Linked DNA regions of Caenorhabditis elegans. The protein of the gene in region 1 interacts with the protein of each later gene in a pairwise test. Each region holds a gene or a part of one and is shown on either strand. Other genes may lie near its edges. The genes, in order: pgl-3 and sepa-1.

Region 1 (3,918 bases):
GTATCTTCTTCTTGTTCTTCCTCCAAAGTCGAGATCTTCTGAAAATCGGTTATTATATTAAATACAAAATAAATTTAAAAAATTGTTACCGGTGGCAGAGCAACAGATTTTGTCGGAGAATCCCAACCATCGCTAGAAAATTGAACAGGTGAGGCAGTTGATGGAGTATTGTCATTCTTCTCCGCATTTAGTTTCTCCGGAATGACATCATGGGCAGCCACGGTAACACTTTCTCCGATGATCTTTGCAGAATTGAGCACATTCGCCAAGTCTGTTCCTTCACATGGAATCGTTTGACGACTGAATGGCATCTTTTCAACAGTTACTACTTGAGCTGCAGTAGAGACGGTGGTCGGTCCATTGGAAGTTGTGGTCTGTTTTGCAGTTGCAGAAGGTTCCGACGAACTGCTCTTCTCCAGAGATTCAATGATACGATTCACGTGATCTTTAGAATCCAGTCCTTGGGCGAACTCTGTAAAATTTATTCGATTAAAATAAGAAGCCTTTTTGCTTACTTTTGAAGCTATCAACAAGAAGATTCTTGGATTTTGGGCTTAGGAATTGAAGCTGATTGAGTGATTTCTTCTCACTCTCCGATCCGTAGAACTCTGTGATCCACAATGCAAATTGGAGAGCATTATTCACATTCTCGATGACAGTTTCGTTGTTCAACTCGCTTTGAGGGAGCTGAAAAAGGAAAATATTGATTATAAGTTCACGTGAAGGAATAATTTTACCAGTGGGATTGGTTGAGAAAAGCACTGCTCGAGAACAGAGATTCTGAACTTTTTCAGCAATTCAGCGATTGCTCTTCTTCTCCACGTGCTCTCCAAGTCTTCAGCGAGGCCAACAAACGCCCAATCCTCGAATGACTTCATGGCTGAAAAAGAAACTGTTCAAAGAAGTTTGCAATCTTTGTAACTAACATCCCAAAAAGACTTGAATGATATGGCTTGCGAGGAACACGGCACTTTTGAAAACACTCCGTTGCAATCCGGGAAACACTTCCGCTCGGACACTCGACGGCATCAACGATTGGATTGTCCTGGAAGCATCACGCTTTCCATCAGCAAGTGAGCGAACGACGAGGAAAATCAATTGATATCCTAGCTGAGATTTCAGGACGAGTGATTCATCATCCTCGACGGCGCTGGCTTCTTCGAAGCGAGCAACGATGTGGGATACAGCTTTTTCGATAGATTCTTCTTGTGGAGTTAACAGAAGTTGGGTGAATGGGTCCACAGAATCAATCTTCGGTCCCTCGATCCTGAAAAACACTCCTGAGACACACAACATTAAATCATGATAACCTACATCAGCTTCTTCAACAACGGCTTGCAGGCCTCAAACGCATCTGTGACGTTGTCACGGATGATTTCAATTTCTTCCTGGAGCTCCTCCGATGCAAATCCAAGCAGTTTTGCCAAGACATAGACGTCGAAATCAAGATCCAAGGCGCTCGACAGTTCCGAGAGCTCGACAAACTTCTCTTCCGCTTCTTCCGCACCGAGAACTTTGAGCAAGACTTGCAGAATCTTGGCGTCATTCGACTTCTTTAGCTTTGTTTTTCGGGCGAGCATCGAGATTTTCTTTTCATCATCGATGATTGGAGCCAAATCATGAGCTTGTCCAAGCTGACTCAGCTTCTCAGCGCCAGAATCGAACTTTGGTCGCTGAAATGAATTATTAATACAAGAACATTTCGGAATTAAACCAACGAAGTCATCCCCGAGAATAAGGCAAACGTCCATGCCAGCAGCAAGCACGTAGGCACTGGAGTCATTTGGCAGGATCATCTCCGCAATTTCTTCATTGCTTGGGCGTTTGTCGGTGGCTCCCAAGACGAAAGCTGCAAGCTTGTTCGCCTGTAAGAAGAATATTTAACAAAAATCCCAATAGTTACAGTCAAACCTGTGCTATGTTGTTGACCAACAGCTCGTCATTGCTCGCGAGGTAATGGGCGAGATGGGGGAAAAAGTAGGACTTAATCCCATCGACCTCCACAATTTGTCGTTTGTTTGCTTCCATGTGAACTTTTTAATCACGAATAACACTGAAATTTTACGTGTAAAATGTTTAAATTCACCAAATGATGATTGAAAATAAGAAACTTCGAGCAAAAACACACAAAAAACTTTTTAAAAAAATTGACTTCTAAATCATCGAAAAGTTCGTGGAGGCTTTTCCAGTCGGGACCCATCGCGTGGGAAAAGGCGTGCGCCTTTAAAAATTAAATCAGTTTTTCAAAAAAAAATCTAGAAAGTTCTCTGAAAGTACTTTTCATTACCGAATTCGAAATATTGCGAGTAAATTTAAACAGAATTTGTTGCTTTATTTGAAAAAAGATCTGAATATTGCAAAAATTGCAAGTTAAGCCGATAAGTTGTGTATTTTAAGAAATCGAGCTTGATCAGTCGAATGAACTTGATATACAATTTTTCCAGAAGGAAAACAACAAAAATTTCCAAACGGTGAAGAAGACTGTCTGCTAGATGTTCCGGGACTTTATCTATCTTTTCCCGCTGTGAACACTGTTCCGAAAATCTGAAAGGTTTTGAAAAGACGAGAAAACGCTGAAACTTTATGCAGTAATTGGTTCATTGATAGGAATTGGTTTGTCAAAGGAACAATAAATAATGATTAGATGCAAAAAAACCAGTATCTGGGACACCTACAAGAGGGAGAGATATAATACAATGGTGAGATCGAAATTAATTTGATTATTCACACAATGTGATTAGGCCTCTGGGGCGGCGGCGGGAGCTTTCTTGGCTGGCTTGGCAGCGGCCTTCTTTGGAGCGGCTTTCATGGATGAAGACTTGGCGATCTTCTTGACTGGAGACTTGGTGACCTTGTTGACTGGAGACTTGGCGATCTTCTTCGGCGACTTGACCTTCTTCACCTTGACTTCAGTCTTCTTGGCCTTGTCTCCAGCGGCGGCCTTCTTGGCGACGGTCGTCGTAGCCTTCTTCTCTCCAGTGGCGGCCTTCTTGGCGACGGTCGTCGTAGCCTTCTTCTCTCCAGTGGCGGCCTTCTTGGCGACGGTCGTCGTAGCCTTCTTCTCTCCAGTGGCGTCCTTCTTTGCTGCAGCTGGCGACTTGGCCACGGAGGCTGTCTTCTCGGCAAGACGGAACCGTCCGTTGGCTCCATTTCCGCTAGCCTGGACGAAGGCGTTACTTTCAAGCCCCTTGTTAAGAGCTTTGCGGAGGTGAGCGTTGATCTGAAAGAAAGGTAAATTTAGGGAACGTCATCTCTACATAGTTTTTTTTCTGCTTTTCTGTTCGGCAATTTATTATTTTAAGAATTTTTAGGTTAAAAATGAAGTTATTGTAATCAAAAACCTGGTCAAAATTTTTCAGAAAAATTGATTTGAATTTAGCTTTTCTGCTTTAAATAAAACACATACCTTGTTAGCCTGATCTCCAAGCGTGTATTTTGTAGTGATATACTTGAGAATTGCGGCTCTGGAAGGTCCTTTGCGGTCCTTGATGCTGCTGATGGCTTCGGTGACCATATTGATGAATGGTGGATGGGCGGCATCGGCCTTGACCATTGGCACCTTGGTAGTCTTGGCCTTCGTAGCTTTTGAAGCCTTCGTAGCTTTTGAAGCCTTCGTAGCTTTTGAAGCTTTCGTTGGGGCTGCTGGAGTTTCGGTGGTGTCGGCGGCAACGGCGACGTCAGACATTGTTGAACGGATGAGTAGTGGTCACTTGGAGAGTGAGTGTGAGAAATGAGCGCGCGCCATCCTTATATACTCGCGCTCTACCACCCTGTCGGGACACATCTTGTTTGGCGCCGAATGCGAAATGGCGCGAAACTTGAGGGCACTTGACTAAATCACGCATAACTTTCTCGGTTCTTTATGAAATTGAATTTTCTTTTCAGAATCTTAAAGATGAATAGTTTAGCAACAAATTA
Region 2 (3,918 bases), on another chromosome or scaffold:
TGCCACCATATGTTCAGAAGGAATTGGAACAGATTTGAGGATTTGGATTAAAATTAGTTTTTTTTGTTAAATTGCATATTTTTTTATTTTATTTTGTCTTGCGGTCTCATTTTTCTTCCCGATGTTCCATAAATAAAAGACAACTGTAAATTTGTGTGCCTTTAGAAACGGCGGGAAAAAAATCATTGCTGAAAATCTTGCTTGACGTCATAGTCTTTTAGAATGGGATTGCCAGGTTCTCTTTGAGGCAAATTAAAATGGGGCACGTTTCCAAAAGAAATCCGGCAAATGGATGTAATTTTCTCTGATTCTATGAATCTTCTGTCCACATTTGTAGTCCAATTCAAGGGTGGGCGGCAATTGCCGTTCGGCAAATTTTTTTGTCGACAAACTCGGCAAAGCGGCAAGATGCCGATTTGCCGGAAGTTTTGAATTCCGGCAATTTGCCGGTTTACCGATTTGCCGGAAGTTTTCAATTCCGGAGGTTTGCCGGTTTGCCAATTGCCGGAAGTGTTTAGAGGGGCTTTTTATATGACAGAAGCACTTAAAACTGTGCCTTTTTGAAATTTTATTCCGTTTTCTTTAGATATATTCATAGAGTTTGCTTATTTTTAAAAATAGATGTAGGAACATTCATAGGATGCGTAAAAGTCTGCTGAGTGAAATCGAAATTCTGAAATTTCCAAAAAAAATGTGCAAAACCACAATTTGCCCGTTTTTCTGGCAAATTTGGCAAAGCGTCAATTTGCCGGTTTGCTGATTTGCCGGAACTTTTCAATTCCGGCAATTTGCCGATTTGCCGGAAATTTTCATTTCCGCCAATTTGCAAATTCCGGCAAAAAATCATTTGCCGTCCACCCCTGGTCGAATTACTCTCAGGTGGATCGCGTCCTTGCTCAGTGTCTGGGAATTTAAGCTGACCTTGCTTTGTCTTAATAATGGGAGTATAGGAGAAATTTATGAAGAAATGTGAGAAGTACATGTAGCCAAGATATGGGCGGTGCCATATTCAGTTCATGCTCCGCCCATATCTTGGATACTTTTCTGTTCAGATTGCCGATAATTCTTTCTATTAGATCAGCAGCCGTAACATGTTGAGATTTACCATATCTGTAAAATCAGTTCCCAGAAATTTTGTTAAAAACCATCAATATACTACATTCGTTTGTAGATCTTCTCCTGGTAGTCGTCTCAATCTTACATCAGTCGATAAAAACATCTGCCAATTCCCACCTCTTTCCCGAATCTGGTATCCCAAGAGCTGAGTATCGATTTAAATTGGTTGCAGCGTTTGCTCCAGATGCTCTGAGTTGTCTTGAAGAGCAGAAGACATCATTCAGTCTGCCTGCATCGCCTCTAGTAGGTCGTTTTTCTTTTCTCTAGTCAGTCTCTAGAGCTCCTGTTTCCATTTTTTTGTTCTCGGCTATGAACTACAGTATTTGTTTCCTTTTTGCCTTTTTCAAATATGATGTATTCTTGAAATTGATATGTCCGTAGTTCCCTTTTCTAAAAGTGTATCTTGTAGTTACTTGTGGTTTTACCAAAAATTGGACAAAAAATATCAGTTGTACTTTGATGGTTTTATTCAAAACTTGATTTTAACACAAAGGAGGACTAAAGACGCTATTTATGCCCCTGATACCAAATATCGATGTGAAAAAAATATAAAAAATTTCCGTGATTTTATATTAATTTATTAAAATCCCAAAATCCTATTTAACGCCGAAATTTTCGTCAGAAAAGGCATCGCCCATAAAAACCGTACCGCACTTGTGGATTTACGAGATTCATATTTTCGATTCATTTTATTTAATTTTCAGCCCTAGCAGTAGCCTTACCTAAATTCTAGCCCACAAAATTTGTGCATCTTCCCGCCTAGTATTATACAACAATCTGTATTGATTGCTTATTCCCAGGTGTTCTGTACGCGGAGTTGGCGGGAGCATTTACCAATCGATAAACTTTACTTGATACGTTTATATGTCCTGTTGCACTCGTCGTTTTGTATTAACTCCTACAACACTTTTTGCTCACTACTTTTTCATTTTTGATTTTTTGCAGTGGTTCTTATACTTCTAAATTTCCTTTAAACTCCTATTTTTAATCGCGCCTGGTAATTTCACTTATCACTTTTTTATTGCATTTGTATACGTTTTCAATTATTCTTAATCTAACTACACCTTAATTCCAGAAAAATCTCCAAGATGACACCTCTTTCTGCTCTTACCTCCAATCCAGCGCCTTCACCTCCACCGAAGTTTGCACTCGGAAAGTGCCCTGCCACTGCTATCCACGTGGTCAGTGTTCTTCGCCCAAACAGACAACGCTTTTGCTATGAGAAAACGGATGCTGGTGATTTGATCCCTCACAAATGCCTCATATGCCAACCAATTCTCACCGAGAAGCACATTTCTCCGTACTACGCTGTCTACAGTGACCTACTCGAAGATTTCGTGCTCTTCGGGTATAATACAATGACCGGGAAGATGGAGCAGTTTATCTACGCTTTCAAGACGGATTGCTTTGTTGAAGTGAATCGTCCCGAGATTAAGTACAATCCGGCGTTTCTTGTTAAAGGAAACGTTGTGGTTGCTCTAAATGGTCCTGAAGGCGAGCTGGTCGTGATTGAAAGAGATTGCCGTGGTCTTCTCAGTAAGGAATCTACAAGTTATGGACAGTTCCGAACTCTTCCAACAGCTGCTTTAAGGACTCTGACGCTTCAAGATCTGGAACGTGATAGGTGGGATAGAGCCGCGAATTCTGATGAAGTCAAGATTTCATCAGGTAATGAGAGCTTTGATAGACTCTACGCAGAGTATCAGAAGAATCTCCCACGATTCCAAGTTCGTCAATGTCTGCATTTGAACAAAGAATTTCTATGCGTCTATTCAAAGACTAGCGGGGATTACACAAGACTCGAGTACATTGACGAAACAGGCGACTTCCAGAAGATTTCCTGCACTCTTTGCACATGTGAAGTCACCGAATCGAACCTTATTCCATTGTATGTGGAGCGTAATGCATCCGAATTGGTGATTCATGTTCATAACACCGAGAATAATCAAATCGAGCAGTACATCTATGATGTCCGTACATTTGGATTCGTTCAAGTTAAACGCAATCTAGTTTATGATCCGAAAAAGATCACCAGTGGGCTGAACTTGTTTATGGCGGAAAATATAGACAATCGCAAGGTGTATATGATCATGAGAGGTCGTGATGGAAGACTTCAGAAAGAAACATCTGGAAGTGGAGGCTTCGAGAAGATGCAGCCAGTTGCGGTGAAAACATTCCAAGTTCAATGGGTTGAGATGAAAACTGAATTCGAAAAGAAGAAGGCTAGCACGGAGCGAGTCGAGCCACAACATCCAGTTCAGACGGAGGGCGAAGATATAATGGAAACCGTGTTAGCGATGGTTGAATCTTTTAATTGTGACTTGAGAAAGGAACTTGGATTGACACAGGATCAAGAGATTCCCAGAAAGGCGCCTAGAGTGGAATCAGCTGAGACGGAAGAGAATATAGTGAAGAATCTCGAGAAGCTCCAAATTGCGAAGGATCCCGAAGAGCCGACTACAGCTGCTTCTGAAGGTGGAAATACATATGGGTATCAGGAATTGGACGATACGATGTCTGAGGGCTTATTGGAAAAAGAAGCAGAATCGAAGCATCAGGACGCCAACGAACCAGAGCCTGTGAAGAATGTCACCTATGAGCCGGATGTTGCAGCAATGGACAAGAAGAAAAAGCGGAGAGAGCTCAAGAGTCGGCTGAACAAAATTAATGCTCAAATTGACGAGTTGGAGAAACGAAGAATGGAAAGAGCCGGAAAGAAACAAGTCGTCTCAAGCTCAGTGCCTTCGGAAGAAGCTGCTCAAGTTGAAGGTATGTATGCTTTTCAAAAACTTTATTTCTGTA

Evidence for each region.
Region 2: the proteins of pgl-3 (region 1) and sepa-1 interact in binary tests that used the Caenorhabditis elegans proteins (3 or more experiments, as listed by UniProt).

What each region holds. Positions count from the first base shown.
Region 1 is NC_003283.11:4,754,120-4,758,037, reverse strand, and holds the start of pgl-3 (Guanyl-specific ribonuclease pgl-3), read right to left. Parts: upstream 2,054-3,918; 5' UTR 2,029-2,053; coding exon 1,912-2,028; intron 1,866-1,911; coding exon 1,719-1,865; coding exon of another isoform or gene 1,715-1,718; intron 1,674-1,714; coding exon 1,315-1,673; intron 1,268-1,314; coding exon 927-1,267; intron 881-926; coding exon 738-880; intron 688-737; coding exon 516-687; intron 473-515; coding exon 90-472; intron 39-89; coding exon 1-38. Other genes in the region: hil-4 (Histone H1.4), read right to left, coding at 2,738-3,220, 3,407-3,685. UniProt on the Caenorhabditis elegans protein: Guanyl-specific endoribonuclease which cleaves the phosphodiester bond in single-stranded RNA between the 3'-guanylic residue and the 5'-OH residue of adjacent nucleotide, resulting in the formation of a corresponding 2',3'-cyclic phosphate intermediate.
Region 2 is NC_003279.8:13,298,988-13,302,905, reverse strand, and holds the start of sepa-1 (Protein sepa-1), read left to right. Parts: upstream 1-2,189; 5' UTR 2,190-2,204; coding exon 2,205-3,885; intron 3,886-3,918. Other genes in the region: T04D3.1 (NTF2 domain-containing protein), read left to right, coding at 1-38. UniProt on the Caenorhabditis elegans protein: Adapter protein that connects P-granules in somatic cells with the autophagic machinery.